Linked DNA regions of Mus musculus: regions 2 and 3 are each reported to be linked to region 1. The links are microRNA targets in miRTarBase. Many come from high-throughput screens and were not tested one by one. Region 1 holds a microRNA gene; each other region holds the end of a gene's coding sequence.
What was found. Region 1 holds the annotated microRNA mmu-miR-378b (CUGGACUUGGAGUCAGAAGA, at 4,343-4,362, opposite strand). A microRNA usually pairs through its seed, bases 2 to 8, with sites in the 3' UTR of a target mRNA and lowers its output. Matches are read on the target gene's strand: a 7mer-m8 pairs with bases 2 to 8, a 7mer-A1 pairs with bases 2 to 7 and ends in A, and an 8mer does both.

Region 1 (6,627 bases):
CCTTTCTTTGCCTTGCACAAACAGCATCTGGAAAGTGGTTAGGAAACACTGCCCAGCCCTAGAGCAAGGAGGCCATTGGCTGCTCAGTTGCTGGGCTGGGCTGTGGGCCAATGGTGGAGAAGGGGGTGTGGCCACAGGCGCAGCCGGCTCCTTACCCAATCTTCTTTCAGGGAGGCTTGGGCACCAGGTACCATAGCAACTGCAAACAGGGGCTCATTTGTTTTGTAGATGAGTAATTACTACACAATTAAAGAAGGCTAAAAATAAATGGGCCCTTTGTTCCAGGCTACTTATTAATATTAATAAAGTGGTCTGTCCAGGTCCATGGCAAATAGTGAATCCCACACTTGCGCCCGGGTGTCTGAGGTAGAGACCGGTGTGTGAAGAAAGCAGGCCAGCCCTGCTTCGCTGCCAGCTTCCCTCTCTTTCTGGAAGCTATTTCTGGCTATGTCTTGGAGAGGGTGGGCTTCCTGGGTCTTGGAAAGTTCAGCCTTACAGATAGATACACACAGAACGGTGGGTACCCTGGAGAGTCAGGCAGAAAACTAATCCACCCCTCCCCCACCAGAGAACAGACCAGAAACACAGCAGAAACCACATGACATGGAAGAAACTCCTTGTCTCTTTATGCTCTCTTTGACCTCACATTGTCTTCTTTAATCCAGAAAAACACCCTTTAAACCTTCCACTGAGATTTCAGGGTCTTCCTCTGCCAGCCTCTTTTTCTGTTTGCCTGTCTTGGGGAATAAACTCACCATGACAGGCTAGGGGTCTTCACCATGACAGGCTAGGGGTCTCGTCGAGTTCATGACCTCCATCCCTTAGGTCTTGACCTTCAAGGTTCAAATAGCTAAGAGGATATTGAAACCACCAAGAGGTGCTCCCACCTCCTAGAGGAGGAGATGGCCTTGAGAGTGAGAAATAGCTTAGAAGATAAACCCGAGGGAGGATGGGCGGGGCATGGTTCCTGGCCGGCATCCACCTCTACTAAATGAGGATTTCAGACTTACAGTCCCCAGTAGGTCCCATCAGCCCGGCAGCTCTGTATTGCTGCGCCGTCCAAAGCTCCTGATCCTTCGTCCTAGGAGACATAAGCAGTGGAAATGACAGTGGCTTAAGGACATCGTGCGGAGAAAGCCAAGAGCATCCCAGTGGCAGGAAATCCCGTGGAGGTGTGGGGTGTGCCCTTGAAAACAGTCAGCCATCAAGTGCAGGGTGCATGGCGGTGTGGCAGGGCTCTGTTTACAGTAAGAATCACATTTTCAGTATATCAGATTTCCAGCCTTAAGTGTGCTTGGTGGGACCTTTCAGGCTTCTGTGGTTCTGTCTTTGTGAACAGGACTCATCAATAGCAGAAGACCTGGGGCTAGGGGAGACGGCTCAGTTGGTAAAGGGCGTGCTGTTGCAAGCAGGTGGACTTGAGTTCTGATTCCCGGTGCTCACATAACAGCAATGCTCAGCTGCATCCGTAATCCCAGCACTTAGGAGGTGGAGACAGGTGGATCCCTGGAGCTGATTGGTCAGCCTGCTTAACCAAATGGATGAGTTCCAAGTTCATCGAGAGACCCTGTCACAAATAAGGTGGAGAGCAATAAAGACACTTGACATGTACACCCCCCACACAAACACACACATACAGGACACACAAATTCAATAACAGAAGACCTGCTCATCGCTGCTAGTGAGCAAGTGAGCCAGCCTTACAGTTTGTTACAACTATGCTGCGTGCTGGAATCTCCCGGGTGTTTTTTCAACTTCCCTCACTGCCAGGCCATATTTCAAACCCATCAAATCAGAGCCTGGGCAAAGTCAGTGTATAGCCATAGCCTCACGTCCTGGTTAGTTGTGCAACTTTATACCATCCCTGACCATGGCAGGCACCCAGCATCCTCCAAAGGGAAGCAGGGGAAGTCACCAGCCTAGGTTTAGAGTCCCTATGGGCTTAGGGCTCTTCTGCCTACCAGGGCCAACAAGACCACCTTCAAGGACGACCTTAAGGGGTCCTTGTCTCTGTGGTGTGACTCTCCCATCTCCCTTGAGTCCAGGCTGAGATGAGGAGCAAAAAGTTTAGACAACTGTAAACAGGGAAGCAGCCATACGCCTAGACTGGCTGACAAATGGAAGCCTCTTGCTAAGGTCGGAGTTTGTTTGTTATTAAAGACCTAATTAGGAACATGAGAGGGAGCTGAATGGCTCCGCGCTTGGTTAATTAGTGACATGTATGCGCCCGCTTTGAACTTCAAGGACACAGAGCTATTAGTGCTTACATCAAAAATGGATTAAACTCCTGCGTCTTTACAATCATTAAAGACGGACTACTCAAGTGGAAAGCCTTCTGTACAGATCCTTGAGGGACTATGCCCTCAACACCCTCCTCACCCACCAGCCACCAGCCACACCCAGATGCTGGGTCCCCGGGTGCCAAGATGCTGTTAGAAGTGATTGGGCAGCAAGTGCCAATCGGCCATGAGGTGTCCCAGCTCCCCACAGGACCCAGCAGAGTGAGATGGACTTTGAGGGCTGGGTTAGTTCTCTGGGGCCCCCCACTGTGTCTGGGCCTTGATAGAAGTGACAGTCTCAGTAAGGGCTTGGCCAGTGGCCCACCCACTTACTGACTCCCAACACTGACTACATTTCTGTTCTTTGCCACAAAGTTCTTTGTTTTATGCCACAGTGGAAGGTTACCCCAGTCATCAGCAGAGATGAAGTCCCCTATGTCTTCATAGGCACCACCCAACCCCAAGGAGATCCCTGGCTAGTAACAGAGGTGTCTGCAACATCAAACTGTGATTCAAGGAGGGACAACTGAGTCGTGTCACGACTGATGTCACATTGTACTTTCAAGTTAGAACTGGAGACAGTCCTAAGACCCTGAGTTTGCTTATCTATTACACAGCGTAATGAAACCCATCTTAAAAGCTGTTGAGTGAGTGGCCCTCCTAGCCTGGCCCTCTCTTATCCCGTTAGCTCTCACCTATCTTGGCCCAGCCATGTGTGATAGTAGTACATCTCCTCCCTAGCCATTCCTACCAGGGATGTGCTGACCACTGACTCTTAGGTAGCTTTCGTCACTGCTGCTGGAATACAGTGCTAGACCATCTTCGTCACTGCTGCTGGAATACAGTGCTAGACCATCTTCTAAGTCTATATAGTCCTAGCCTTGGATTTCATAGTACTGTAGCATGTGTGTAGTACAGAGAAATATGCATTGGTCATATAAGAAGTAACGTATGAGACACAAGGGATCTATGGCTGGGACAGGCAGGGGTGAGACCTTCACGATGAGCAGCATAGCAATAAGTGGAGATGACTGGAGACACACGGGAAAACCATACTGCTTGCTTCCCTAGTAAGTTAGGTAGACGACGACGTGCCTTAAGAACAGGTGAAAACAGGCCAAGGGACTTTCAACATCAAACTGGAGTTGGCCTGCTTTCAGCCCTTGGGTTCCTTATTTAATTTTGGTATTTTGGTCCTAGACCCTAAAGGGCTGGACAAGGAGACAGAGGCTACACGTTCAGACATCGAGTGGCTTTAATGCAACATATCCTGGGTGCTGTGGCTATGAGGGGGTCCCCTGCTCTGCTGCTCCCTTCAAATTCTACCCAGTGTTAGACAATAGAAATACCTGGACTCCACGTCTTTTCCTGGACCTACAGTAAGGCTATTGCGATTTACATCATTTTCCTAACCCCCAGAGATTAATTTCACTCTTCACACACACCCACCCCAGCCCACTTTAGAAAGTGGGGAAGGCTGCTGCCTGGAAGGCTTTAACTGAGCACCCCCAGGTAAGGGTCTTCATTCCCAATACAGGCCGTTGGTCCAATTTCTGTTCCCTTCTCTGAGATGAGATAGGAAGGCTTCATTAGGTCAGCCATCCAGGTGTTTTCTTGGGCAGCAGGAAGCTTTTCATTTAATGTAAAATACCTTCAACTCTCATTCGAATACATTCCTCTTGCTTTGCTGGCCTTCTGAGGTATAGCAAATGTCCCTGCCTTTCATGTTGCTCGCCCCACCCCACCCCCCTGAGTCCTTTTTTTCCGGGTCCAGGGTGATTAAATGCACCAGACGGATGGATTGAACCCTTTTGTAATCACCTTCAGGTCTGTATGGCAAGTGGATTGCATTTTCCTCTATTGGATTTTGCTAAATGTGCATACAGGACCTGTGTGGGCTCTGCATATACCTGATAAGTCACAGGGCTTTTTCTCCTTTTCATCCTCATAACATGCTAGTGACTCAGATTGAATAAGGGGCACATTACTCATGTGTCACAGATAAGGACACAAGCTGGACCAGGACACACAGGTGTCAGGGCAGGGCCAGAGTCAACCTCAGGTCTTCTGACTCCAAGTCCAGGGTTCCCTCTCTATCCATCGTACCTGCCTCCTGAGGGTACTGCCTGGACTGGGATAGCCCAGGACACTGGGAATCAGGAGCAGAAGGAGGAACCACCCTAGAATTAAGCCAGGGCTATGGACATTACTCAGAAGTGAGCCTGTTTACCACAGTGGACCCCCAAACTGCCAGCCTTGTCCCAAGCCATGTAACACAGTCTCAGCTTCTGCTGATATGCCATGATATTTCTAGATAACACACACACACACACACACACAGATAGAGCTGGACTAGCCACACAATAGTCACGATGCCCTTCCTTACCCATGAACAGTGATGCCATATCCTTTCTTGGGTTTGGGAGACCACACCTGACCCCTCCAGATGATTTTTGGTGCCTGGGAAAGGGAAACCTGCATTTCACAGAAAGAACTTTCATGGGAACTTGGCCTCTCACCAGCTTCTTTGCCTCTCACAGCTCACAGGAAGAGACCATGTTATCAAGTAGCCAGCCAGTACAGTGTGAGGAATTGTGCTGATTTCCAGAATGAAGGACATTCCATTGTCCTAGCTGCCTTCCTGATATCGGCAGGCAGTAGCAGCTACCAAGTGTCTGTCCTTATCCCTTCCTGAACAAGGTCCCTAAATACATATAGGTTGCTTGCCTGGAGACCTTATCACACTATCTGGGGCGTGGCTCTTCTGCCACAAGAGACACAAGTGTTGACTACAGAGCTTGAAGGAACATTTCTCCTCTGTGGCCAAACCCATATGGGCATAGGCTCCATTGTCTAGGTGTTTATTGCCTGTCCACTGTACCATCTGGTGAGGACTCAGCAGCCAAGTCTTCCATCCTTCACTGGGGGATGCTTGCTGCATAACCTTGAGCTGGAATGGACTGTGGCTGAGCAAGCACATACTCCAGTGGAACTGGGGATGGCAGTAAGCCATATTCTAGCACAGTGCCTCTCTCCAGATTGCTGCCACTCTCATTGGATGTAATATGACTGAGCAGGGAGGGATACTGTAGGCCTAAAATGAGCTTCTTGTAGAATTCCCTCCACACTACAAGTGCCAGGCTTCCAGGTGCACATGGAGCCAAGAATGTTGCCACGGGTAGGGTGAATCCCAGCAGCCCGCCTGCCTTCTAAGCCTTCCACAGAGGGCTCTCTGAACAGCATTCTTCTGTCAGCCTGCTGCCTCTTTGTCTTTCTCTAGCTGGATTTGTCTCCAGGGGTGAGGCTCTCTTGCCTTCTCTTCATTGCCTATCTAGTATCTTCCTATCTTAGAGGGAAAGAAGCTGAAAAAAAATCTCTGTCCATTTTCCACTACTATATTTTCCCAACCCCACCCGATCCTCTTACCCACAGTCAGAGCTAGCTCCTTCTTCTGTAGAGAGAGGGGCTGGTACCTGGGTAAACCAGGAGTCCACTGTCTAGCTCGTTGTGTTTCCTGAGTCCCCAAGAAAAAGATGTGGTCCACCAACACAGTGCTACCTTTTGGATATCTCTGCTGGATATTTGCCTCCATGAGAGAAGAAGGGGCAAATGTCATCTGCAATTTTAATGTTCTTGGTTCAAAAAATTCTGCTGCCAGTACATTTCCAAATAAGCTATTCACTTGCTTTGAATACCCCCCCCCCAACACACCTTCCCCCGTTTCCCCAACCCACTCTCTTGATCGTCTTGTTTATTAATTTCTGGCCAAATGCTTCAGAGGGGCGCATCCTGCCCAAGGGCATCCAGAGGCAACAGTCCCTTTTCCTCTGCTGAGGCAGGAGCCAGGCCCAGCGTGGTTTGGTCCACTTTGGATCTTGTGTCCCCTTCTCAAGTGCAGTATCATTAATCTCTTCTCGCTCCTATGACAAGTGCGTGAAAAAAAAATCCACTTACATGTTCTTCAAAGCCACAAGAGAAGCAAGGGCCTCTAGCGACAGGGCCCCAGGCAAGAGGAACTCCACCGTACACTTCAGATGCTCTTCTTGGCAGCTGTTACAGGGCAGAGGAGTGATGCCACAGGAGCCAGGAGGGAGGAGTGAGCCTTCTAAAGCTGAAGACAAGTGATATTCCATCACTCAGTTTCTTCAAAACGTGTTAGCTAAGGTCCAGCAGCTGCTGGGAATTTCAGAATCAATTAAGAGCTTACTTTTATAATGGAAATTGCTTGGAGTTTTGGGGTTTTGGGAGGGGGCGTTATGTCTGGGGTTTTTATTTTGTTTTGTTTTAAATATTTAATTTTATTTTATATGCTTTGGTGTGAGGGTGTCAGATTCCCTGGAACTGGAGT
Region 2 (6,627 bases), not on the chromosome of region 1:
TGCCCTCTAGCTGCCTCACATCCCACACCTCCTCCCCACTATACCCCATCTCCACATGGATGCCCCCACCCTCCACCCCATCTGACCTCTAAACTCCCTGGGGTCTCCAGTCTCTTGAGAGTTAGGTGAATCATCTCTGAATGAACATAGACCTGGGAGTCCTCTACTGTATGTGTGCTGGGGGACTCATAACAGCTGGTGTATACTGTCTGTTTGGTGGTCCAGTGTTTGAAAGATCTCGGGGTCCAGATTAATTAAGACTGCTGGTCCTTCTATAGGATCATCCTTCTCAGTTTCTTTCAGCCTTCCCTAATTCAACAACAGGGGTCAGCTGCTTCTGTCCGTTGGTTGGGTGCAAATATCTGCATCTGACTTTTTCAGCAGCTTGTTGGGTCTTTGGGTGGGCAGTCATGATAGATGCCATTTTGTGAGCACTCTTCATACTGCTCTTACATTCTCTGTTCATCATCTTTTCTACTCTGATGAACGTACCACTCTATTCAGTCATAAAGATGAACTATTCCTCTTTCAGGAAAAGATAAAATTGTGGTGTGTAGCAAAATAAGCAAGAAAAATACTGCCATGTTTTTTTTGTTTTGTTTTTTTTGTCATATGTGTAATCTAGACACACACACACTACATGACATGAAGTTAGGAGGAGAGGTATTTAGGAAGTGGAAGGAAACCATGGGGAGAAAGAGTTCTTTCCATCCAGTGGAAGGTGCATGTGAGCAAAGTATCTGACTTGTATTTGTAAAACGTCATAAGGGAACCCATCATTATGTACGAATATAAACAAATGAGTAAATAAATATAGTAGTGAAAATTGTGGTACAAGTCCAGCATTGTAGGATGCTCCATTGGACACTGCTGATAAAAAGCATGGAAGAGCCCATCAACAAGCACTACTTTGATGTCTCCATTGGCGAAAGCAGGGAGGACCATCTGCTTTATTCTCTGTCACTAGACAGCTTAGAATGAAAGGTAAGAGAATATGACCTTAGAGTACGGTATGGATTGTGAAGGTTAATTTTCTTGGTAAAGAAACTATCTATTGGGAGATAATCATGTCTCAAGGACACAAACAAGGGGGCAAGATGATGAGTTACCCTGAGGGTAAGAGCTCCCCAATGAGAAAAAGAGATCTGATTGGCAGGAGATGGTCATAGGCACTTTTGAGTCACACAAAAGGTGTGTGTGCTTACCTTATTTTAAATTTTCTCTAAGTACCCTTGGCTTTCTTCCAACCAATTTTGTTATTGTTGCTATTGTTTGCTTGTGTATGTAATGGTTTGAATAAAATGGCCCTCATGGACCCATATGGAGTGGCACTATTTGGAGGTGTGGCCTTATTGGAGTGGTCTTGTTGGAAGAAGTGTGTCATAGGTTGACTTTAAGGTTTCAGAAGTGGCTCACTCTTCCTTCCTACTAGTTGAGAAGATGTAGAACTCTCAGCTACTCTCCAACACCATATCTGCCTGTACTCCACCATGCTTCCCACCATGCATGAACCCTGAATTGTAAGCCAGCCCCAATTAAATGTTTTTCAAAAAGTTGTCATGGTCAAGGGTTTCTTCATAGCAATAAAACCCTAAGACAGCTTAAGAGAGGGTCTCACTATATAGCTTTTGCTAGTGTGAAACTTTCAATGTAGACTATTCTAGTCTACATAGTGAGTACAGGCCCACTTCTGCCTCCTGTACTCTGGGACTTAAAATGTGTGCCACCATACCCAGCCCTCACCTAAGATTTTGCATCTATACCTATGAAAGGAGAAATTTTGAGAAAATAAAGACTCCCTGGACTTTCTTCAGTGGGGACTACATGGCAGAAGGTTATTAGTGTGCAAAATATCCTTGATGGAAATGTATGTAGGGTAGAACAGGTATAAAAATGAGGGCTGTCTACATATGAGACATTAGATTATTAATATTACTAAATTTATTATTATAAAGCCAAGGGTAGTCTCCAGTAACTATATAAAAGTAGTAGTTTTCATGAACTGTTGAGAGAACTGGGGGAAAGCTACAGGAAATGAAGTGGTAGTTTTCTGTTAAGTATCTTACCAAATCCAGTTTATTATTGGTTATTTCCTCCACCTCTTCTCACTACAAACCCCCAGACACGAATGCCTTGTCATACTTCAATGCATTGTACCTTGGAGACACTGTAAATCTTTACCAATAGAAGATTCATGGCAAACCTGTGCCAAACAGGTCTATAGGCACCACTTTCAAATAGTTCAGATAATCATTGAGAATCCTAACAATGGAGTGTATTTTGAAAATTATTTTTATTATTTTTTAAGTGCATGTGTGTGAGGCTGAGGCTGTAAGTGTATGTGCATATGTACAGCTGCCTGTGCAGGAAGACAATTTCTCTGGAACTGGAGTTACAGGCAGTTATGAACTGCCCAACATGCCTGCTAAGAAATGGTGCACATTGTCAGCAAGCACAGTAGCTCTGGTAGCCAGAGAGTCATCTCTACAGCTGCAAAATGAAGTATTTTTAATTAAAGTAGTACACTGTTTTAATCATAATGCCAGTGCATGCTCAATAAACTATGAGCACTATAGTCTAATCATAATTCTTACAGAACTGGGGAAAACCGTATGATTGTTCTGTTGTTCTGCCCTGGAATGGATCATGTCATGTCTCTGAAGTCAGGCTGTACTATATAAATGGCCAATGAATGAGTCTTTAGGAAAGAAATTCACACTGAATGCATAAATTCCTTTATTGAAAATATTGGAATATCATTACATGTAGTTGAAATCCATAATAAAGGGCCACACATTCCTGTTCAGACAATACTGTTTTAAATAGAGAACACAGCATCTGGATATGCTCTCACGAGTATAGCATCATGGACTAAACTAGGCAAGAGTAATCTAGAGGCAAAATGACCATCTTGTTCATTAACAGCATGGTTACAAACAGTGAACATCATCACCACACGACATTCCTGGGATCTCGCCAACTCATGTGTGTGAGCAGACCAAAGTCAAATTGTATATTTTTAAGCAAGAGTCCTCAATGGGAGAACTTGGGTGAAAAGTATATATGGTCTACAGATTTAAATTTTCATAGCATTCCTTTAAACTAGCATGGGATGGCAGTGAATATAGTGATCGGCCTGATGGAGACCACTGGACAGTGTTTTCTTACAAGGAGGCTAAAATGGAAGAAAGACTTGAAAATATGACAAACATAAACAGACATGTAAACACGGTTTGCTCATTTTCTGTTCAAAAATCTCTGGGGAAATAATTCGCGATAGACTACTTTTCAGCTTTGGCTATTATTTAAATTTTTTCCATTAGTAGTCTTTGGCTTTCATAAGAGGGAGGCAATCATTAACATTAATGATTTTATATCCTACTATTTAAAATAAAAGATGTCTACTGATGTGAAAATGAGTTTATATTTAAAAAAATATAGATTTTCTTTTTTCTTTCAATTGTGATATGAATGTAATTCTTTGAATTGTTTTTTCTCCAGTAAGATTCAAGAAACCAAGAAAGTTGGTCCAACTTGGCATCTTTTATCCAACATTAAAAATGCACAAATTATATACTCTCTTTTAAAACAGATGGCTACCATTAATGTAAACACCTGGAAAGAAACAACGTAAAAGAAAAAAAAGAAAAGGAATGAAAAAAAGAAAAAAAACTAAGAAACTTAGTTACTGTTATTAATATACAATTCACACAATTTCATAAGAAACAAACACTCTGTAGAAGTAGGACTTGTACATTCATGTTCATAAAGATCTGTATTTCAATAAACACCATCTTACAACTGTGAGAGAAGCTATATTCTGCTTCACACAAATGCTTAGGGTTTTCAAAGATTACCTTAAAAACTAAATAAAAAGTTGGTCTATAATAGATCAAAAAACATTGGTAATGAGCTTTTGAAAACTCTGTCTCTGTCTTTTTGACTCTCTCTCTCTCTCTCTCTCCCTCTCTCTCACTCTCTTAATAAATAAAGATTATATTACCCTAAATAATCAGGGCAAAAAATGAATAAAAAACTATACAAATCAAAAGAGCCTTGTTTCCCAATAGCACAAAACATATACATTTCTTTATTTCAGGATTTGACACATTAAAAGAAAAAAATCAATATATTTCAGACAATATACTAAAAATAATAAATAAAAGTTTTTAAAAAATCAGATATTCCCTTTAAGTGCTATATCCTTTCAATTTCTCTAAATCAGATTTAGCTTTCTATGGCAAACAAAAAGTATATATTTGGTAAAATTATGCTGATAAATACACAAGGAAGGTATGTATTTCCACAGTATCATATTTTTTCACAGTTACCAAAAATAAAAATTGCATTCAACTCATACATCAAAAAACACTCTGATTTCTCATGGTGTGAATTTGAAAGCAGTGGAGGTACAAAGTCTTTTTGTTTTGTTTTTTTAAAACAACCTGGACTTGAGATTTCTGTCTTCAGTGTCTGCCCTCCACAGTACCTTCCAGAATCTGTCTGCATTGCTATGATGCTCTGAGACAACCGCAGGAAGAAAGCATTGCTGTAGGATGAGGCAGCCAGGGCTGGGGCTCGTCTTCCAGTAAGACGGCTAATCTAACCCAGTCTTTTCCATGTTTTATTTTAAGGCAGCCTGAGTTTCACTCAAATGTCCATACCTCTAGGTCCTGAACTATGAAGTCTTCTTTTTTTGAAAGGATATCATTATTAAAAGTACTGCAAGAGTTGCTGCGTCCATGATATAAATCAGCATCTAGCCACAGACCAAATCGTCCCCTGTAACAAGGTTAAAGGAGAAAGGTCACTACACGGTCAAGGCTTACAAAATGACATGCTTTCTGCCTTTTTCCGAGAGGCTTCCTTTCATTTGGGACAAAATAGACAGAACTCTAAACTCCTTACAAACTAAGAGCAAGCTGTGTAAACAGGTCTCTCTTAAAGGACAAATGGTTGCAGTCTCTCAGGCACATTAATACATCATTTATCTTTGGTTCTCAGTGGCATGTGTTAGTACACTGCCCTAATTAATCTAAGCAAATTGAATAGCTGGGCCTAAGTGATCCCCAAGTAATAAAATTACAAGAGCCTTACCCTCCACCACCAAGTTCTAAAGAACTTATGTCTCCATTGATAAAATATGAGTTTTCTCCACTCCACTTAAAGACCTAAGGGCAAAACCACAAAAGAGAGCACCAACATTTCAATTCGGAGAATTAGCAGAGAAGATACCTTGAATAGTCATGTTGTGTATAAAGGAAACACACCTTTGAGTAACAAAGCATTTGACAGAATGGCTACAACATGATCACCAATCGTTATGAAATAGTAAAGACCATTCGATAATGTGCTGGCTCTGACCTTCAATCTCTCCCTGCATCGCAGACTGAGAAACTCCTTGTGCTGGGTTTCTAAGCTGTCTGTATGCTTCAGTCATGGAGACCGAGACTGCGTGCAAAGGATGCAGGCAGGATTGCAGGACACCCACTATCTCAGTGTCTGAACACCCCGGAACCTCCTGACTGCTGACAACACAACCCTAGCCATTCAAGTATTCCACCCTTCCAGGTACCTTGAAATTCGGACTAAAGGTGTAGAGAAACGTTTCGCCTGTGCCATAATAGTGGTCACTGAACTTGAAGGGATGAGTTGCATATGCCCCAAATATCTATTAAAAGAAAACAGAAGACATAGTTACTTTCAAAATTAAACTCCCATAGAGACCTTCTAAAACATTTTTGACACACTATTGTTCTTGGATCTTATAACTCTTTCAGCAAAGTTTATTATTAAATTAGAACTCTTTAAGTGGAAAAAAAACCCATCAAACAAAGCAATTACTACAATACCCCCAGCTCTAACTGGAACCCATGTGGCCAGGCTTCCTGGTACATGGAAAATCCATCAGAGAAGCTTGGAGGCATTATTTGTTAAAGTGGCCAACAATTCAGTGGTTAAAAGGCTGCTGAAGTAGAATATGGAGAATGGCATTTTTAAAAAATGTGTGTTACACACAGAAATGAGTGCTTGACAGGACACCATCACATCTCTAGAATGATTTAGTTTTATATTTTGTTTCTTGGGACAGAGTCTTCTATTACAGGGTAGGCTAGATTGGAACTCACTATGTAGCCTAGGTTGGCCACTAGCATCCACAAAGTTGTCTTGGTGGAACCATCATGTCAAGTTTTCTCATGTATTTCATAAGTGAGATCAAGGCTGGACATTCCATCCCCTCAAAGATAAACTTTCCTCCCTTTCAATTTTTAATAATGAGAGATGAAAATACTTAAATATGACTGGTCAAGGTACTTAGTTTGAAGCAACTTTGAATTAAAAGGTAACTCTTTCCTTTAAATGTGATTTTTGTGGGGGTCGGGAGGTAAGCTTTGAGACAGGGTTTCTCTACAAAGCCCTGGCTGTCCTAGAATTCACTCTGCAGACCAGACTGGCTTCAAATTCACAGATATCCACCTGCCTTTGCCTCCTACGTGCTGGGGTGACCATCACCTAGCCAACTGTGATATATTACTACATCCACGACTCTTCCGGGAGGTAGGCGAGTCACGTTACAGAGTCTAGTCATGTAATGCCTCAGCTTACTGTCCTTCAGTTCCCATCCTA
Region 3 (6,627 bases), not on the chromosome of region 1:
TTGCCTCCTGAAATCAATAAAAAATCAACAATTTGGAAATAGTTGTACAGTAAAATAGTTCAATAATTATTCTCTCATAGTGTTGTGGCCAAGCGGTTCTAGGGTAAATTCGGTCCAGATGAGTTCCTGCTCCTTATGAGGAGAGCTGTGAGCAGATCGGGGCTTTGCTGAGAGACCTCCTCATCAGAATGGACTGCAACAGTAATGGACTCCCAGCAATGCCTTGGCGAGGGGCCCAGCACACAGGCAAACACAAGCTTTTAAGTGCTGTTAAAGTCAGCGTATGGTGTAGCACCTCAGAGGGTCTCCATTCAGAGTTTAGAGACCTAAACAAAATGATAAATCCATAGGGATTGGCCAAGGGGGTGGGGTGGGGGACGGTTGATGCTCTTGCCTCAGCATTCAGACTCTAGACATGAGCAAACGAAAATTCCTTCAGAGATGTGCATGCATGTGTGTGCATGCGTGCATGTGAACATGTGTGCTTGTTAGCATGTACGTGTGTATGCAAATATGTGTGCTTGTATGTGTGTATGTGCACATGTCTGTTCACCCACAGGGATGTGTGTGTGTGTGTGTGTGTGTGCGTGTGTGTGTGTGTGCATGTGTGTGTGTGTGTGCGTGTGCGTGTGTGTGCGTGTGTGTGTGTGTGTGTGTGTGTGCATGTGTGTGTGTGTGTGTGTCTTACACAACAAGATTGGTTGAGATTAAGAATATATTCATCCTGACATTTCTTCAACAAATATTAAAGTCTGTGTTGCTTCTAAGAGTTTCTGAGAGCCGAGTAAGGTGCTGCCCAAGCTACCCTTGATCCCCACAGGGCATTCTGCTAACAAGTGGCATTCATGCCAAGCAAAGCCAGGAAGTTATTTCTGTGCTGACCCTCTTTGCAGAGGGAAACCCATTTTTTTCCCTAGCTTAAGCCCATTCACATAAGCACTTTATTCCAAGCCAACTGCAAAAAAGATTCGAACTTCCATTAGAACAAACCTCCCATACCAGATTTGGAGTCCTATGCCACCCTCTAGGTTCAATGAACTTATACAGTGTACTGTCTTATAACTTAGAAAAAAGTCAAGCATCATTTTAGTATAAACAAATGCTTCAACCATACGACATCTACCCTCTGCCTTCAAAGAGATCCCTTTAACTCAGGTGCTTGGCACTAACATCACACAGGAGCAGCTCAGCACACTGACTTAAGTGTTCAAGTTTTTTAAAGTACATTTCTAAGGACTTGCACCTGCTCCCTCATACATATAGATGTACTGACACGCATTTGACTAAACTGACTGCAGCGTGCCCAAGCAAGCAAGCAGAGCAGATTTTACAAGATAAGCAACCCAGTGTTTTCATGTCTAAGAGTGGCTAGAACATAAGATTGCCACTCATCTTGTTGGGAAAAAGAATGTCTTTGAAAAAAAAAAAACAAAAAACAAAACTGCAGGGCACTGATTCAGATGCCATGCAACGCAGCTTTGCCTTCTGTTTCTTCTCATTTACACATGGCTTTTACACACGAAGGGGCTGTACTTGAGCCAGCTTCTGTAGCCATGATCGAAAGAACAGTCCACACAACCTTGCTACTCAAACTGCAGTCCTCTGGCACAGTGAGTCAGGGTGTCACCTGGGAGCTCATTAGAAATTCAGGATCTCAGGCCCCACCCAGACCACTGGGACAGGAATCATAGGGTGGCAGGACTCCACCACGTGGGCTGTACACACATCAAGCTTTTTTGCTTTCCTGGAGGCATTCCTGATGACTGAGGTGCCCGCTAAACTCTAACAAGTTTTATTTAGAACTTTGGCCCCTCAAGTTAGTTAGAAGTTCACTTTGAAGTTGGTAGGGCGGGGAGCTGGTGAGAAAATTCTGCCCTAGAGGATGTCATAAGGCTTTAAGATATGGTGGCGGGGTGAAGGAAAGAGGAGATGCAATTTATCCAAGTAGATGTGTGTGCCCTGCCCCCTCAACCCCACCCTACCTGTCCCTTCCCCTGCAAGACATAAAACAGAAAAGGAATAGTGCAGGCTGTTGTGACCTCCTCACATATATGCCGATCTATAACGCCGCCCCCCTCGCCCCCACAATATAACCATTCTTTACTGCAAAGCTCTCTTCCTTTGTCCTTTCAATCAAAAAGTAGGGAGGGGCTCAGCATGTCAGCACCCAGTGAATCAGTATCTTAACAGCAAGGCAAGTGACTAGAAATTTGCTAAGTGATTTGGCTCATTTTCGATAGTACAGATGAGTGTTCTCCATCTTAAAAAAATAGAGAGAACACCTGAACCACTCGGGGTATATACCAATGACATAGCTCCATTTACTGTGACGTCTCTCTCTGAACCTAAATGGAAATCAGAAGTGCGACCATCTACATATGTAACATAATCTTCACATAGCTATGTATAAATTAGAACATGTACACACTATATGCACATACATGTATGTATATACCTATATGTCACATGGGGCCTGCTGTGCTACAAGTAATTTTAGCCAAGAAAATCAAGACCAATGAAGCAGAAAATATGTACTGGATAGACCTGCCAGAAGGTGGGATCCTTATGGAATGATCGCACTCCCATCTGGAGGACTTGGAGATGTAAATATGTGGTTCATTCATTTTATAAGATGTTAAGATTGCAGTTTGTTACAGTGCCCATGGCAAGCAAGAGACATTAGAGAATGACTGAAGGACCAGGAGGACAAGGCTACCCATAGTTGGGTCTAATCGTTTCTACCTGTGCAACAACTAAAGGGATAAGGAACACATCAAAAGCTAACCAGGGTAGTCATTTAAAACAAGATCTTCAGAACCTTAAGGTTTCCGAAGGTAAGTGTGCTTGGGGTCATTGCACGGAGGTCCTTGGGAAGAATTTAATTATAACAGTCTGTCTTGCTGTAAGCACACCGCTTTCCAAGTCAGTTCTAAGGCACGGGTCAGGAGAGGAGGTGAGACCTGGGCTTCAACCATGACGGAGGGCTACAGGACACACACTCCGGAAACTGACCTGAAACCCTGCCAGGAACTAGCACTGGATTCCCCAATCTGCAAACAGCCACAAAGCCCTCCCTCCCTAGGTTTTGCTTCCAACCTGAGCACCAAAGCTCTGCCATCATAGAGGACTCACTTTCCAGAACCTCATCTGACTTCACTCTGTTTGAGCATCTGGCCAATTGGTAGATGTGCTGAGACGCTGATCAGACATTCTTTAATTTTTTTAGGCACTGTGGCCTCTGTTGTATGATATATCATCTCTGGAACTTTACCTTGGGTTCTGCAAACTTTGCTTTGATTTAGGCATTGGCTTTCTCTCACTCCCCCCGCCCCCTTATGAAAACTACTAACTCATTGGTAAGTCCTTTGGTCCAACTGGGGTTTGCTTAGAATTCTCCAACCATTTAAGTCATGTCCCCACCCCAACCTTGTCATCATTCACCCAAGAAATGAAAATGCAAACACAGGTAGACACTGCAAACACAAACAAACCATTTGCTCTCACGGGTTAGGTTTTATAGGATGAAATGCCAGAATTTTGATATTTATTATCTGAAATGGGTTTAACATTTGGAGAAATATGTTCAAACACATATCCCTGGAAAGAAAAGCAAGCTGACAGGTCAGAGAACAGGGTGCAGGCAGGAAACATATGCTCAATTTTGCTGCGTGTCAGGCAAATGTAGAAAATTGGGTGCTTTGGAGAATAGAGAGATTGCTGATAGGGTAAACACAAAATACAAGCCAATTTCTGCTTCTTTATGAGGGCCCACAAGATAATCAATTGTACACATATATGACTACAATGTTAATAAAGAAGAAATATTATATTTTATTTAGTACTTTGGCCAGATCAGCCCCCTGGAAGGGATTATAGGCTTAAGAAAGAACAAGATGCCATCATCACTTCCTGACATAGTCACAGTTTTCCTAATTATTCCCACTGGTCCTGCTTTGTTCTTGCTGCAGGGAGGGTGGCGAGAGCTTTTCTATCAGATCAGTAATGTCTGGTTCTTATCCAAATATTCCCCCTAATAAGAATGAAAGTTCTCACGGATTGGACAACCACTCTGCAACATTCCTGAGAATTGAAGAATATAATCTTGAAAGTCAGCAAAGTAGATTATCCTTTTTTTTTTTTTTTGGACTTGAACTTGTGAACTTTAACAGTAGTGCTGCAAGAAACAGACAGCAAGTGTGCAAGCACTTTGCTCAGCAACCTTCCATGTAGACTTTGCATCTTAAATACACACAACTGAAAAACAACTACAATTCTTTTTGAAAATTATATACAAACCCGATATTTCTTCTGATTACATATAAATACAAATTAACTATCTTTTTTCCCTAAAAAGTGGTTATAATAGTAAATAAATACAAAATAACTCTGACCATTATACTTCATGTGCTGGAGTTGAACCCATATAAAATGTACAACTAAATACATTTTAAATCTTTAAGGAATAATTCTCTGATTAAAATATTTGTTTTCCCAACTTCTTTTCGTAGATATAAATATATTTTCAAAATAGCTGTGTTTTTTTCCATTCCATTCCATAAATAAAGTCTTCATTGGGAAATATTAAAGTGTCAGCTGGTTTTTTTGGGGGGGAGGCAGGGGGAGTAGGGTTTTTTCTGTTTCTAAAATATATATATTTATTTATTTATTCTTGCTGTGCTAACGACACCCGCAGCCCTCCACAACCATGTCCTGATAATTTTTTAGCACAACCTTTTCATTTTCATCTAGGTACAACATGGAGATTGCGCTGAGCTCTGTGGGGACACAGCATGCCTTAGGGATTTTGGAATTCACAGAGTTCACCAGAGTCTGCACTATGGCATGGTTAGTGGAGTTCAGGTGGTCAGCAAGGGGAAAAGGACACTCCCCATGGCAGTAAAAGGCATGATAGCCCGGAGGTGCCACGATCCAGTCATTCCACCCCACATCACTGAAGTCCACATACAAAGGGTGTCTCTTGCAGCTGGACTTGAGGCGCTTCCGCTGTTTGTGTTTGGCTTGACGCTTTTCTCGTTTGTGGAGCGGATGTCCTTTTCCATCATGTCCAAAAGTCACTAGCAATGGCCTTATCTGTGACCAGCTGTGTTCATCTTGGTGCAAAGACCTGCTAATCCTCACATGTCTCTTGGAGACACCTGGGTTCTCCTCTAAATGGGCCACTTCCACCACAAACCCATGGTTGGTGTGTCCCTGTGTGGTCCACCGCATCACAGCTGGGGTGACGTCGAAGCTCTCCCACTGACTTGTGTTCTGATTCACTAACCTGGTGTCCAATAGTCTGGTCACAGGAAATTTCAAGTTGGCTGCTGCAGGCTTTATAATTTCATAAATATTAATTCGGTGCTGGAAACTACTGTTTCCCAAAGCTTCCTGTATCTGTTCCCGGAAGATCTGGAGTTCTGCAGATGTGAGAAACTCGTCACTGGGGACAGAACTTAAATTGAAGAAGAAGCGCCGGGCCGTTTTCCCACTCATCTCTGGAAGTTCCTCCACGGCTTCTAGTTTGATCAGGGTGGAGAGAAAAAAGAAACGCATTTGGTAAGAGAGCCAATGGTAACTTAATTCCTTACGAGCATTTAAAACTTCAGTGCATGGTTTAAGTTAAACTACATAAAAACCTGCAACCAGAAATTAAAAATGTCAGGCCTAGAGATACAATGTCTGCCCCTCTGTCCATGGCCCTGAGTTTACTGCTTAACACAACATATATATATATATATATATATATATATATATATATATATATATATATATATACACACACAACATGTATATATATGTATATACACACACACATATATATATTAAAGTGAAAGCGGAGTTTCTTTTCCCTTTTCTATATGGCCACATTAACTTTGTAATTGCTACGTTTTTAATCCAATATATGAACATAGCTTCTAGGTAGCTATAATAATGGAGGAAATAGTGAAACACTTCTTTGGAATTCACAGACTTTAAGGGGAAAAAAGTCAGCACTGTAGTTAGTAGAGAGCTAATGACTGAGGAGTTGAGGAAATGACTGTATTTCTTAACTAAGAAAACGAGCTTTAATGTCAATCCCTTAAGCAGCCTGTGCAAACATTACTCTACAATTTAGATGATTTACAAATCTCAATATACAGATTTCAGCCCCTTAATTAAAGACTTTGAAATTCAACATCAATGATGACATTTTGCAAAGCACACCCTACCATTTTGCTCAGAACTCTAGAGACAAAGGCATCCACAGGGACATAGTTCTTCAGAAGGGTATGGGGTGACATTAGGCTGCTGTAGCAATTCACGATAAAGAAATCCCTTCCTACTTCCTGTTCTCTCGTATCCATCTCATCCTCATTCGGAATAACTTCTGTGTTGATCCAGCAGTGCTTAGACTTTGACCTGCACATCAGCCGGTCTGGGAAGAGGCCTGCACTCCTGCATCTCCATTAAGCTCTTAAGCAAGGGATGCTGCTGTTTCTGGACCACACAGAGTCAAGGTTTAAAAGGATGCTTTTCATACTCGAGCGTATACTGATGAAGGAGGAGACTTTTATAGAAAAAGCCTTAATGTTGGCCAACACATGAGGGTTCATGCTATGTTAAGCCAGCCAGGGACTCAAGGGG

Region 2: the mRNA of Ncoa7 is a reported target of mmu-miR-378b. Seed matches in the 3' UTR shown: 7mer-m8 at 4,447-4,453.
Region 3: the mRNA of Bmp2 is a reported target of mmu-miR-378b. Seed matches in the 3' UTR shown: 8mer at 4,142-4,149.

Annotation. Positions count from the first base shown.
Region 1 is chr11:88,350,574-88,357,200 of GRCm38, reverse strand. It overlaps Mir378b (microRNA 378b), which reads right to left and starts at 4,428; the gene lies at 4,337-4,428. All of the region lies in intron 11 of Msi2 (musashi RNA-binding protein 2), which reads left to right.
Region 2 is chr10:30,642,870-30,649,496 of GRCm38, forward strand. Ncoa7 (nuclear receptor coactivator 7) reads right to left here. Exons shown (of 16, transcript NM_172495.6): 14 at 5,576-5,671; 15 at 5,098-5,171; 16 at 2,713-4,782. The coding sequence ends at 4,647. Among named protein-coding and RNA genes, the nearest start is that of Hint3, 28 kb to the left of the region's middle.
Region 3 is chr2:133,559,766-133,566,392 of GRCm38, reverse strand. Bmp2 (bone morphogenetic protein 2) reads right to left here. Exons shown (of 3, transcript NM_007553.3): 3 at 3,497-5,519. The coding sequence ends at 4,678. It overlaps Mir3090 (microRNA 3090), which reads right to left and starts at 1,685; the gene lies at 1,599-1,685.